3 linked regions of the Mus musculus genome follow. Each later gene encodes a partner of the first gene's protein in a complex. Links are inferred from orthologs where the notes say so. Each region holds a gene or a part of one and is shown in the gene's direction. Other genes may lie near its edges.

Region 1 (4,458 bases):
GAGTTTGAGGCCAGCCCGGTCTACAGAGTGAGTTCTAGGACAGCCAGGGCTATACAGAGAAACCCTGTCTCGAAAAACAAAACAAAAAAAAACAAAACAAAAAAAAAAAGCCTGGGTGATGCCCACATCTCTTTTCCATATTTGTGCTTCTTGGATTGAAGGGAGGTTTGAGTAATGAAACCAGTTACTCACATCAGCTGATGTAGTGGCACACACCTTTAATCCCAGCACTTGGAGCAGACAGGCCGAGAGCTCTAACATAAAGGACAGCCTGGTTCTACTGCGCAAGTTCAGGATAGCCAGGGCCACACAGAGAAGCACTATCTTGAAAAACCAGTCAACCGGTCCAGCACATCATCATAAGAGTGACAGGAGCAAAAGAGAAGCAGAGAAGAGAGAGGGAAGAGCTCTCCTGATCCACGCTAACATGGGTATCTGCCCTTTTCCAGGACCCAGAGAAGGGGCCTGTCCCCACTTTCCAGCCGTTCCAGAGGAGCATGTCTGCTGATGAGGACCTACAGGAGGTAATGGTTTCTGTGGGGCCAGGGTTGGGGACAAGAAGAGACCCACACACTGTGGACCAACTCCGGCACCTGGGAATCATTTGAATTGTTCTCTGTCTTTTCTTTCCCCTTAGCCATCCAGACGTCCCCAGAGGAAATCTCTGTATGAAAGGTCAGAGAGAGCACCGTTTGGTGTGGGGTCAGAGGCCAGAGTGACTGGAAAGTTCAGGGCTAGAGTGGGAGGAGCCAGCTGCAGAGGCAGTGTTGACTCCACAAGGTTTGGAAGAAGGTCGAACCCCCTTTGGTCCTTACTGTCTGCCTCTCCCCAGCTTTGTGTCTTCTAGTGATCGGCTTCGGGAACTGGGACAAGATGGAGAAGAAGCAGAGGCCCCCGGGGCTGGTGATGGCCCACCTCGAGGCTTTGACTGGAGCTATGAAGAGCATGGTAGCGCCCGCTCCTCAGCCTCCCCTCCCCGAAGCCGCAGCAGGGACCGAAGTCATGACCGGAGCCGAGATAGGGATCGGGACAAAGAGAGAGACAGAGACCGAGATCGAGATCGAGACAGAGACCGGGATAAAGACAAAGACAGAGACCGGGATCGAGACAGAGACCGGGACCGAGATCGGGAACGAGACCGAGAGGGCCCTTTCCGCAGTGAGTGATCTTAGCCAGGGTTTAGGTGGGTCCTGCTAAGTAGAAGGTGAGGTGGACCCAGTAATGACTGTGGTTCCTAACCCACAGGGTCAGACTCATTCCCCGAACGGAGGGCCCCTCGAAAGGGGAACACACTGTATGTGTATGGAGAGGACATGACGCCCACCCTCCTCCGCGGGGCCTTCTCTCCCTTTGGAAATATCATCGACCTCTCCATGGACCCACCCAGAAAGTAAGCATGAGCAACATCCCGGGGAGGGAGCTGCCTGGTCTCCATGGAGTTTCCTGACTCTGCTTTCTCTCTCACCCAGCTGTGCCTTCGTCACCTACGAGAAGATGGAGTCTGCAGATCAGGCTGTTGCTGAGGTTGGGACTTCTCAGACCGTTCCTCCCATCCCTCCTGTCATCCTCCTGCTTCTTCTTTTCAATATCTGCTTCTAGAGGAAACTTTTCTCCTGACTGAGAAAACCTTCATCCTCACATTCCTGGTTGGTCTCCCAGGGCAGCAGCACCTGGCTCCATGTAATGCCCGTCCTCTGTCCCCTCCCCTCTTGTCCCACAGCTCAATGGGACCCAGGTGGAATCTGTGCAGCTTAAAGTCAACATAGCCCGAAAACAGCCCATGCTGGACGCTGCTACTGGCAAATCTGTCTGGGGCTCCCTTGGTAAGGATGAGGCTCCTCCCTTCCCCTCTCTGCAGCATAGCACTTCCTTGAGTTCCCTAAAGTGCCCAAGGTCAGGATCTTCACGTAGGTAGTGGATGAAGAATTGCCAGGGCATCTGTCAGGTGAGGGAAGGAGAGCAGCACTGAAATGTGCCCTCTCAGTGGTGGCACACACCTTCAGCCACAACACGTGGGAGGTGGAGCCAGGTGAGTTCAAGGCCAGCCTGGTCTACAGAGCAGAGTTCAGAACAGCCAGGGCTACACAGAGAAATCTTGTCTTGAAAAGCCATTTGGGCAGGGCAGTGGTGGCACACACCTTTAATCCCAGCACTTGGGAGGCAGAGGAAGGTGGATTTCTGAGTTCAAGGCCAGCTTGGTCTACAGAGTGAGTTCCAGGACAGCCAAGACTACACAGAGAAACCCTGTCTCAGAAAACCAAAAAAAAAAAAAGAAAGAAAAGAAAAGCCATTTGGAAAAACAGAACAGGGTCCTCTGTCACAGACAGGAAAGCAGAAGCCTAGTTGTCGCCTCTGAGCTGGAGTGTTACCTGAACTTGGTATTGTGGGTCTGGACCTCAAGTAGAAGACCAGGCATGGAAACATAGATTAGTGTTCTGTGTATCTGGAACCATCAGAGGTGGGGATTTTGGAGATTGAAAAGTGACCTGAGACTGGTTTAGAGAATCAAGAGCATTAGGAAGCTAGGCTCTACTGTCTGTGCCTAGCATACCTCCAGCAGTCCTGGCTTGCTAGGCCCAAGTTAAGTCTGCAGCAAAGGAGCCATGAAGAAGAGTCCAAGCTAAGAACAACCCCAGAAGCTCTGGGCTGTGGGCTGAGAGGCTCTGAAAAGAGTATAAGACCAAAGAGGAGGCCTGTCTCTTAGCCCCACAGGGAATCCTTGGGAGGGATGAGCAGTATGAGGAAAGAAAAGCTGAACACTTGAGTTCGGAGAGGTCCTCATGGGGTCTCTCAGTGTGGACAGCCCATTCTACCCAAAACAAACTTTTCTGAGGAAGGAGTAAGCAAAGTCCTTGCACACACTAGGAAGGAACCAGAATTGACCAGTGTACCAGCAAGGTACAGAAACATTCTGATCTTTTAATTTCCATGTATTTGTGATGTTATCATAGTCACATCTCTAACTGTGTTAACATTCTGGATTTTCTAAGCCACAGTGAGGTTATGGCCACCAGAGGGCAGAGTAAGCCCTGGTGGACCAGGGCCAGGGCTCTGGACCCCAGGTCTAACGCCACTGGTGCTTCACTTAACTGTCACTTTCCTCCCTCCTTAGCTGTCCAGAACAGCCCTAAGGGTTGCCATCGAGACAAGAGGACCCAGATTGTGTACAGTGACGATCTATAGGAAACCTTGTGGATGGCTTCTAGGACATGAAGCTGGATTCCTTGTGCCTCATATGCCCCCAAGCTGGTCTCAGTAAAATCCTGGGGTAGAAGCTTTTCACCTCCGTCAGCCTCTAGTCTTTCAGCACTTGGGATTGGAGTTAAGCCTTCAAAAGCGGCTGTCAGTGTTGATGTTAACCAGTGCACGCCCTTACCCCAAAAAGATGTGGAACACACTTGTTATTGTAACTGCTTTAATCTGTCCTCACACTCTCCCTGCAGGAAGCTCTTTATAGAAAACCCAAATCCTCATCTTTGAGCTTGTCCTTTAGCCAGGGCAGCACCTGGAAGAGGTTGATGTGGAAGTCCCGGGCATAAGAGGGTACCAGCTGTTGCCGCCTCTGGTCTCTGCAGACATCTACTACTCCCCAGCTAATCACACCAACCTGTGTAGATAAGGGTATGCCATGGGTCACTTGACACACTAATAATCCCAGAAAGCTTCCAAGCTGGCCTAAAGAAGTGCACTGGGAGCCTAGCTCCCCCTGTCTTCTGTGGTGCACATAAGCCAGACACTTGGCATTCACTGACCAGTTAAGAACATAGCTGTCAGATGAGGTGGGCCCTGTTCTGCCCCCTTTTCCAGCCCCCTTTTCCAGCCCCCTTTTCCAGCCATGTACAGCAGGCTTTCTTTTTGTGACTCCTGGGCATCTCCCTAAGGGACTAGAGAGGGGACCACTCACTTGAATGAAGCGGCTTCTCTTGTGAACAATGAGAGGGCCCCCGGAATCTCCTGTAGAAGAGAGAAGCTGTAGGGGAAAGATGCTGGGCCTGTGGACTTGCAGCATAGCCAGAGAGCCACCTCACCTTTGCATGTGTTGGGGTCAGCATAGGGATCCACCCCTCCTGTGCAGAGGAACCGTGGAGTGACCACCTCAGAGGCATCTTTGACCTTCTCATAGCCTTGGGCCTTTGTAGCATCTCTCTCACAACTGGCTTTCTGTAGGCAACAAAGGTGAAAAAGCTAGCTAGCTAAGGGAGGAATGAGACCTATGTGACCCTCTCCAGAATCCTCTTCTCACCTTGTCCCCATTCTTGATGTACACCTCCTTCCGAGTCAGGCTCTTCCCTTGCTCAGATACAAACAGAGCTTTGACATCCTTCACAGGGAGCAACTGTTCCTCTGGAAAAGTAATGGGGTCATGCCAGCTGAACCCTTACTTCTCACCCAGCAGATGTCCCTTGGGCCCATAGGAGCCAGGCCTTGAACTAAGCAGTTTAACACTTTCAACTCCCT
Region 2 (4,028 bases), on another chromosome or scaffold:
ACTCGCCCTTTGCTATTAAGTCCGTCAGACTACAGTACCTGTGATCATTCCTGAGAGGGTCACTTAGGGCTTCAGTATCCTGAACACCGTCTCGTTGTCCCATGTACAGACGGTGACAAATGTTAATTAATACAATATAGTACTTGCTGAATGAAATAAAGCAAGAGTTGAGGAGTCAGAGAAATAACTCTGTAGGTCCCTGACAGTTAGTCATGTAAATTTCAGAGCAGAGACCAACAGATAAAGAAAATAAGTCTTGATTCCTAAAATGTGAACAAGCTGGACTTTAGCAGAAGAACATGGTGGTTTACACACAATGACGGGAACAGAACCCAAGAAGCCATAGTTTGGAATTCGCAGTGGAAATTCCTGGAAAGATGGATTGCTTGCATGTACGAATAAATAAATGAAAAGAATAGAAAAACGATAATCTTTAAAATAAACAAAGAGAAGTAGAGCCGGAAAGATGGCAAGATGGCTCACTGGTTAAGAGTGCTTACTGCTCTAGCAGAAGACCCGGGATTCAGCACCCCCACCCCGCTCCCGCGCACTCTCCTCCTTGCTCACAGAGAGTCTGAAACTCCAGTTCCAGGATGATGTACAGACTTACAAATACATAAAATATTGCTTTAAGTCTGTGAAGAGTTTTAAGCATAGTAAATAAGTTTGACTAGACTTGCTCTCAGAGTATAGCAGGCAGTGTTAGTGGATAAACTGTAACACAGGAAGTGAAGGAGCTAATGACTCCTCCCTAAATTCTTGGATTTAAGCAAACTACCGAAACGGCCATTTACTGTAACAGGTAAGACTGAAGGAAAAGTTTGGGCTAGACCATGGACAAGACAGTTTGGTGTCCATCACAGGGCAGAGGACGTCCACATACTGTACACGTGCAGAGGAATAGAACAATTGGAACCACACCGATCAGTAGCTGGGGCGTCCGTCAGCTGGGAGAAGTAGGCAGTAGGACTACAGTGAGCAGATTCAGCCGGACGGGCCTGGATTCCCTACCGCTGAAAGTGGCTTGCCCTCCTCCCCGCTCAGGTCTCCCGAGGCGTCTACAGCGGGATGGCGAGAGAGAAAGAGAGAACACCTACCCGCAAACCCTAGGCCTTTCCTGGGTCTCCCTTCACCAACTTGGCGCTGCTCCCCGCCCTCGAGCCCACGCCCCCCGGCGCGCGCGTGCGCAGAGAGTCCCTGAGCCGTCACCTTTCTCCGGAAGTCTCCTAAGTCGTCGGCGCAGGGGCCGCCGGGAAAATCCCGCCGGGCCTGTATAAAGCCGAGGCGGGATCGCTGCGGCCCGGATAATTTAGCTCGCTGTCCAGAAGGGCCCGGGGTGGAAAGCCGGAGGAGGCGGCCGCAATTGGACTTGCAGACGCCGGCCTTCCACTGCGGAGCCCATCCGGTGCCCCTCTGCACGCGCTTCCGGCAGGCGTCGTAAGCGAGTGCGCCTGCGCGCCGCTCAGTCCGCGCGCCTCGCCGCTGACCGCGCACCGGCCGGCCGGCAGCCCGACGGTTCTGGGGTTGCAGGCGGCTAGCAACTCAGATCGGCTGCGCACCAGCAAGCAGCATGTCGCGGAGGCGGCACAGCTACGAGAACGATGGTAAGTGCTCTCGGCCTGGCCACTGCGTCCGGGTGAGAACCGAGGCCGGGCTCGCCTTCAGTCTCCCGGGAACGGATAGGAATCCTTTCTCCCCGGGAGGGCTCGGGGAGCCCCAAAGGGAGGCTGCTGGCTCGGTTGTGGATAGTGGCTTCGGGAAAGCGACGGCCTCCCTGCTACCCCATCTCCTTCAGTCATGGGAAAGGAAGGCCTGGTGAATCCCGTGAGCAAATCCGACCTGGGGTCCCGCGACACTGAGGACTTAATCCCTCACTACTGATCATGGAAACCGCACGTGTGTCTGTCTGCTGCTGCCTCTTAGGATCACTTAGTGGAGGAGATATATCTAGTGGACCAGTGTTTTCCTTTTAGCCCTCCAGGGTGTACTTGGAAAGGACCCTGGGAAGACAGGAAAAGAACAAAGCTATGACAGAGGTCGGATGTATTGCAATCTGAGCCCTTCTCCTCCACCTGCCACCCGCTGATTCCCCTCTTTTAGGCTTCAAAAAAAGAATACCAACACCCCAGAGGTCACTAATAAACAGGCACGGGGTGTTTTGTTGGATTGGCTTTAAGCATATTTCCCTTATAAGAAAGTGCAGGAAAACCCGAGCAGATTATTAATTCTCATGTCAGTTTTGATGGTCGCCGGCAAGGACGTCGTTGTGTTGCCATAAATTTTGTTTTGTTGCACCATTATTGCCTTTCAAGAACACACTTGGAGCTGTTAGTGTTAGGTCCAAAGGGTTAAGGCAAGAAAAAACTTTAGAACCGAAGGGTTTAGGTTCGAAGCTCGACATCTCGATTATTTACTATGTGATCTTGTCAGGGTCATATGACTTCTTAAACCTAAGCGTGGACTGTGGATAATACTAAGCCATTTGGTTTCTACGGGGGGCTAAATGAGATATTGTGCTCACCAGTAGTTCATGATGATGTTTATTTTGTCAACTGCTAATGTCTCAGAGGTGATACACACAGATAAATGCTGACATCGTTGAGAAAAAAAGCCCTCCCTCCCCCAAGTTTAATTGGGTTAGCTTCCTCCCTTGGAATGTTAAGACAACCAAGCGAATCCCATATAGTGGAGCCCCAGGTTTCTGCCAGTAGTACCTGAGAGAATGTCCTAATACATCAGGAGTGCCGACTTGCTAAACAGTTTCCTAGCTTCTGTGCTTGCAGTGGAGTAGGAGGCAGTAGAACAGTGGAGGCTCCCTCCCCTGGGTTAAGACAAACCCCACAGCGGTATAGTGCAATTCGTTATAAGGTCACGGGGTTGTGGAGAATAATGTGAGGTAAAGGGTGTAGAGACCAAAGTGAGAGAGAAGCTGGTTAGGTAAGGCCTCCTTGCAGATGGCCTATGGCTTCAGTGATGTGAGGATGAGCCGTGTGGATGCTTGGAGGAAGCAGAGGTCCAAAGGAAACCGTGAGTTAAGGTTAGAACATTTCTGTCGTGTTAGAGAACAGACAGCAAGGAGGTCATTGTTGGTAGAAGAGAGAAAGTGAGGGTAGAAGTTGTGAGACCGGGGAGTTTAGATGAGCCTCTTACCTCACTGGGCCACTTGAACATTTCTGTTAGGACTATATGATTGGGGATTCACAGAGATACTACAAGGTTGCTAATCAATAAAGTTCCCGTAGTTTATTTAGAGTCACAGAAAGGGCTATGGTAAATGGAAAGTATCAAATCTAACTCAGTCTTAGACTCTTTTGTTTGTTTGTTTTTGAGACAGGGTCTTTATGTGGCTGTCTATGTATGTAGTCCTGGCTGTCTAGAACTATGCAATTCAGGCTGGAACGCCTGTTCCTATGTCCTGGCTAGATAGATCCCACTGACTGCCCTGCCTTACCCCAAGGGGAATACCATACTTGGCAGGCTTAGATTCCTTAACAGTATCTCTGAACTTCTTCAGTAATGTTGGATATACATTTTATCAGTGTGAAGTATATTGTCTTATTGTTAAGAAGGAATTTAGGCCCGGCGTGGTGGCGCACGCCTTTAATCCCAGCACTTGGGAGGCAGAGGCAGGCGGATTTCTGAATTTGAGGCCAGCCTGGTCTACAAAATGAGTTCCAGGACAGCCAGGACTACACAGAGAAGCCCTGTCTCGAAAACCCAAAAAAAAAAAAAAAAAAAAGAAGGAATTTAGATTGAATCTTAGTCAAAAGTCCAGATAGCCTATTCTACTTCCACTTAGGTCTTTATATTTTATTGTGGCTGATGTTTTTACACTTAACTGTATGAAAAGTTTGTTATACATAGGGACAATATACTTTGTTTCAGAAGTGATATTCTTCTACCATTTTAAATTCTAGTTTTAAGTTTGTAGAGTCAAAGTTACTTTTTTCTTTTATGGTGGTGTTTTTTGTCTACTTTGTTGATCTGAATTACAGTCTGATTCTAACAAGGGCATAGGAAACAGTACA
Region 3 (4,095 bases), on another chromosome or scaffold:
ACCCACAATGGGCCCTTCCCCCTTTGATCACCACCTATTGAGAAAATGTCTTACAGCTGGATCTCATGGAGGCATTTCCTCAAGGGAGGCTCATTTCTGTGTGATAACTCCAGCTGTGTCAAGTTGACACACACAACAAGCCAGTACAATTACTAATCACAGTTCAGTTAGCTGACCATAGTGAATACCCCAAACCGAACTTCAAAATGGGGAAGAAGAGAAACGTCATGTGCTATGGGATCAGCGGCCTTAATGCTTAGTGGTGAGAGATAGGGCAGTTCCTGAGCTGTAAAGTGGAGGGAGTGACCAATAGTCCCTGGGCTCTCTACACTCTGCAAGGCTTTGGGCTACTTGGAAAGTGGCCTCCATTTCTTCACAGAATGGGATTTTAAGTCACAAGCCACACAGATCTCGAAAGCAAATACCAACACAGACGCTTAACGCGTTAACTATCATTAACAAGATCTTAGAGTCCCCCGCATTCCTCCTTGTCTGAGAAATACCACATTCAGACTATTAATCAGCTTACACATTTAATGAAGGATTTTGGCAACCTCGGGGTTGTCGTTCCATTTACAAGCTCCCCTGGTATTCTCCTGCACCAGTGCAGATGCAGCAGCAGGAATTCAGCTTCAGTCCTGCTTGCAGACGGCAGGCTTGCTTTCTGATTGTCCATGACTCTCAGTCGTGCTGTTATGGTCTAGATTCTCTATCACTGGTGGGCCTCGAGGTCTTTACGTCTGCAGGACTACCGGGCACATGTCCATTTGACTTTAGGCATCTGTAGGACAATCCGAGTTAGGATTCGAAGCAGCGTAGCGTCCTGGAGATGACTCGTGACTGCTGAGGTCGGTGTAGATCACTGAAGGGACGGGTACGTGACCTCGGCCCGGGAGGGTCCAGTCCGTGCTTACGCTTTGGCGCCCGGACCCTTCTGCTGCCCTGGACGGTCCCGGACGCCACGGCGGAGTTCCTCGGTGAAAGTGTCCTTGAACCTCACGACGCGGCGACGCAGGGCACCGGGCGGCTGATCCGCGAGGGCGCGCAGGCGGCGGGCTGCATCGTGGCCGCGCAGCTGTAGCTGTAGCAGCGCGAAGGCTGTGAGCTGCGCCGCCCGCCGGATGGGCCGCGACTCGGACAGCCGCTCCACCAGCTGCGGGTTGTGCAGCAGGGCCGCCAGCAGCCGCCGGAAGACCATGGCTCTCCCCGCGCCACGGAACCCGACGCTCGCTGCCTTCGCCTTCCGGACGGCCACGCCCGACGACGGACTAGCCGGCGCTGTATGATGACGACACGGCTCGCCCCGTGGTTCTGGAGCACGCCGCCCGCATTTCCGTTTCCGCCGCCCGCCGCTTGGTTCTCCCGGCCGTGGCCGTGTCGGGTTTGGTGTTTCTGCATCATGTCGGGTGGCTTACTGAAGGCGCTGCGCAGCGACTCCTACGTGGAACTCAGCGAGTACCGGGACCAGCACTTTCGGGTGAGGCGGGCCAGGCCGGACCGGGCCACGAGATGGGGAGCCTTTGGGCTCTAAGAAACGGAGAAACGGTTTACACTTGTCTTACTATGTCTTCCCTCCTGATCTCCTGGGGCCCAAAATGCGAAGGGGTTCCGAGCGGGGCATGAATGTCACCGAAGCCACTTTATCTCCCAGGGCATCTAACACTTTATTTCACAGGTCCTTGCAGCACCCGGGGAGATGTGGCGGTGGCCCCTGTTTGATGGGCTTGTCTTGCTTGGGAAAGGGACTGTAATGAGGAGGGATCCCTGTGGCGACTGACCAGACACTAGAGCGGGTTTTGTTTTTAGTAAGCTAAACACTGCCCTTTGGTACTTCGTTCCTTTCTGCTGTAAGACAGCCCTACAAAAAGTTGGCAGTAAGTGGGAGACTTAGAGTTGGGTTCCCGTTTGTGGCTGTCTGACGGGCATCGGGACAAGTCACACGAGTCGCCTTAAGATTGTTTGGATGACAAAATCTAGTACAGCCAGTGGCTGAAGAGAAGCTCTGTCTCGAAAAACAAACAAACAGAAACAAAAAGAAATTTAGCCTAATTTTAAAATGTTTGCTGTGTGTCTGCTAAGAGTTTCACGTCTACAGTTCTCATTGCTTTGAACAGGTCCACATCAAAACTAACCAGTTTGAATTTAAAGCACACTGAAAGATTAAAACTAGGGGAGGAGTCATTCATTTGCTGTCAAAAGCCTGTAACTCGGGGCTGGAGAGATGACTCAGTGGTTAAGAGCACTGTCTGCTTTTCCAGAGGTCCCGAGTTCAGTTCCCAGCAACCACATGGTGGCTCACAACCATCTGTAATGGGACCTGATGCCCTCTTCTGGTGTGTCTGACGACAGCTACAATGTACTCATATACATAGAAAGCCCGTAATTCTCTTCAGATAGTAATAGTTTGTGTCATGTGCATTTTCTAGTGTATTCTAAATGCAGTGTGTCAGTGCATTGTTAAGTGTGAAATTAAGTTACAGTGAAGTTATCGACTCTGCGTTTTACAGAGTTGCAGTACAAACTGCACCTGATAGCCAAGTGTGGTGCTGGACATCTGTAGTCCTAGTAGAAATATCGTAAGGTTGAGATCAGCCTGCACAGGTAAAAAGCAGATGTTTCCTCTAAAGTTCTAAAACCTTGTTTTTGTTTGTTTTTAACACAGTGTCTGTTGGTCCATAGACTTCACCTGTTCAGTCCTGTAACAGTCTTAAGACAGTGTGGCAGTGGGAATAAGACCAGAGGTTTTTAAAATTTTTATTTTATTATAATGTTGTTGTTGTTTGAGACAAGGTTTTACTATATTGCCTTGGCTGACCTGGAACTCACCATGTAAAACAGGCTGGCTTTGAACTGACCAGAGGTCCACCTGCTTCTGCTGGGATTAAAGGAGTGCACTGTTGCGGCCACCAGCAGCTCGCAACATGAACGGTTCGACTGATATGGCTACTCAAGCTGTAAGAGAGGAATCTAGACGGCCGCAACAGTGCACCACCATGCTTAGCTCGATACTGAGTTTGAATTCTGGCTGAAGCTACTATATAGTGTTTCATCCTAGGAGACTCAATTGTTTTTCCTCATGTGTAAAATGGGAATGATATATCAGGGCCTACCTCATAACATTCCTTAGAATGAAATAAAACTCTCAGATCTGCAGTCCTTTGAGCTTCCCCAGGGGCAGACAGAAATACTATTTTCTTGTGTATAGCTGCATGTTCTTGGTTTTTAAAACTGTAACTTGGAGCGCTAGAGAGCTGGCTCAGAAGTTAGCACAGGCTGTTCTGCAGGACTTGGAGCCAATTCCCAGCACCCAGATGATGTCTCGAAACATCTATAACTCCAGTGCCAGGAGATTTGATACCCTATTCTGGTTTCCGAAAGCACTGGGCTGGCACATGGTGCACAGACATGCAGGGTGCGGGCAAAACACCCATACACATAAAATACTAAACTCAAACCAAAAAAACTGTAACTTGGGAGATGGGTGTGATGGCCCATGCCTGTTATCAAGGCATTTGAGGGAGATGGTAGTAAGACTATCAGGAATTTGAAAGCAGCTTGGACTATGTGGTCCTGTCTCAAAACAAAAACAAAAAACCCAAAACCCAGAACAGAACAGTTGGGCTGAGTAGACATAGCTCAGTAGGTAGAATGCTTGCCTTGCATGTGTGAAACCCTTGGGTGGATCTTGAGCTGTACATAAACCCAGAGTGGTGGCGAACGCCTGTAACCCCAGTACTTGGAAGGTAGAGGTAGGAGGATCAGAAGTTCGATGTCACCCTTGGTTAACATAGCAGGTTCAGTGCAACCAAAGCTACATGAAATCCTGTCTCAAAAATCAGAGGCTGGAGAGATGGCTCAAGTACTACTCTACCAGAGGACCCCCGTTCAGTTCCTAGCGAATTGGGTATCTTACAACCAGTTTCAAGGATCCTGATACCTCTGGCCACCAAGGGCTTACTACATTCTGGTGTGCACCGCCCCCCCCCCCCCCCACACACACACAAAGAGAAATGAACTAACTTAAAAAATAAAACCACAGAGCTGGGGATATGGTTCAGTGGTTAAGTCCACATGCTACTCTTGAAAGGACCCAAG

The links. The genes of interacting proteins can lie anywhere in the genome.
Region 2: the proteins of Nelfe (region 1) and Ncbp1 are in contact, whole or in part, in a crystal structure (PDB 5OOB), measured with the Homo sapiens proteins. The link is inferred for Mus musculus from reciprocal best matches to the Homo sapiens genes NELFE and NCBP1. Residues at the interface, in NP_002895.3 of Homo sapiens: Arg362, Ile365, Val366, Tyr367, Ser368, Asp370, Val371, Tyr372, Gly379, Phe380; in NP_002477.1 of Homo sapiens: Tyr461, Lys511, Lys557, Ser558, Ser560, His561, Ser564, Lys568, Ile609, Arg610, Gln612, Cys616, Lys647, Met648, His651, Glu705.
Region 3: the proteins of Nelfe (region 1) and Ncbp2 are in contact, whole or in part, in a crystal structure (PDB 5OOB), measured with the Homo sapiens proteins. The link is inferred for Mus musculus from reciprocal best matches to the Homo sapiens genes NELFE and NCBP2. Residues at the interface, in NP_002895.3 of Homo sapiens: Lys361, Arg362, Gln364, Ile365, Val366, Tyr367, Asp369, Tyr372; in NP_031388.2 of Homo sapiens: Phe49, Tyr50, Thr51, Thr52, Glu53, Gln55, Lys68, Ile69, Ile70, Met71, Leu73, Lys77, Lys78, Thr79, Ala80, Asp107, Glu121, Gln124.

The regions. Positions count from the first base shown.
Region 1 is NC_000083.6:34,852,976-34,857,433, forward strand, and holds the end of Nelfe (negative elongation factor E), read left to right. Parts: intron 1-449; coding exon 450-524; intron 525-637; coding exon 638-675; intron 676-832; coding exon 833-1,158; intron 1,159-1,245; coding exon 1,246-1,390; intron 1,391-1,469; coding exon 1,470-1,524; intron 1,525-1,720; coding exon 1,721-1,823; intron 1,824-3,112; coding exon 3,113-3,183; 3' UTR 3,184-3,397; downstream 3,398-4,458. Other genes in the region: Cfb (complement factor B isoform 1 precursor), read right to left, coding at 3,452-3,607, 3,905-3,954, 4,029-4,161, 4,244-4,344. UniProt on the Homo sapiens protein: Essential component of the NELF complex, a complex that negatively regulates the elongation of transcription by RNA polymerase II.
Region 2 is NC_000070.6:46,137,283-46,141,310, forward strand, and holds the start of Ncbp1 (nuclear cap-binding protein subunit 1), read left to right. Parts: upstream 1-1,228; 5' UTR 1,229-1,570; coding exon 1,571-1,604; intron 1,605-4,028. UniProt on the Homo sapiens protein: Component of the cap-binding complex (CBC), which binds cotranscriptionally to the 5'-cap of pre-mRNAs and is involved in various processes such as pre-mRNA splicing, translation regulation, nonsense-mediated mRNA decay, RNA-mediated gene silencing (RNAi) by microRNAs (miRNAs) and mRNA export.
Region 3 is NC_000082.6:31,947,251-31,951,345, forward strand, and holds the start of Ncbp2 (nuclear cap-binding protein subunit 2), read left to right. Parts: upstream 1-1,295; 5' UTR 1,296-1,399; coding exon 1,400-1,477; intron 1,478-4,095. Other genes in the region: 0610012G03Rik (hypothetical protein LOC106264), read right to left, coding at 911-1,198. UniProt on the Homo sapiens protein: Component of the cap-binding complex (CBC), which binds co-transcriptionally to the 5' cap of pre-mRNAs and is involved in various processes such as pre-mRNA splicing, translation regulation, nonsense-mediated mRNA decay, RNA-mediated gene silencing (RNAi) by microRNAs (miRNAs) and mRNA export.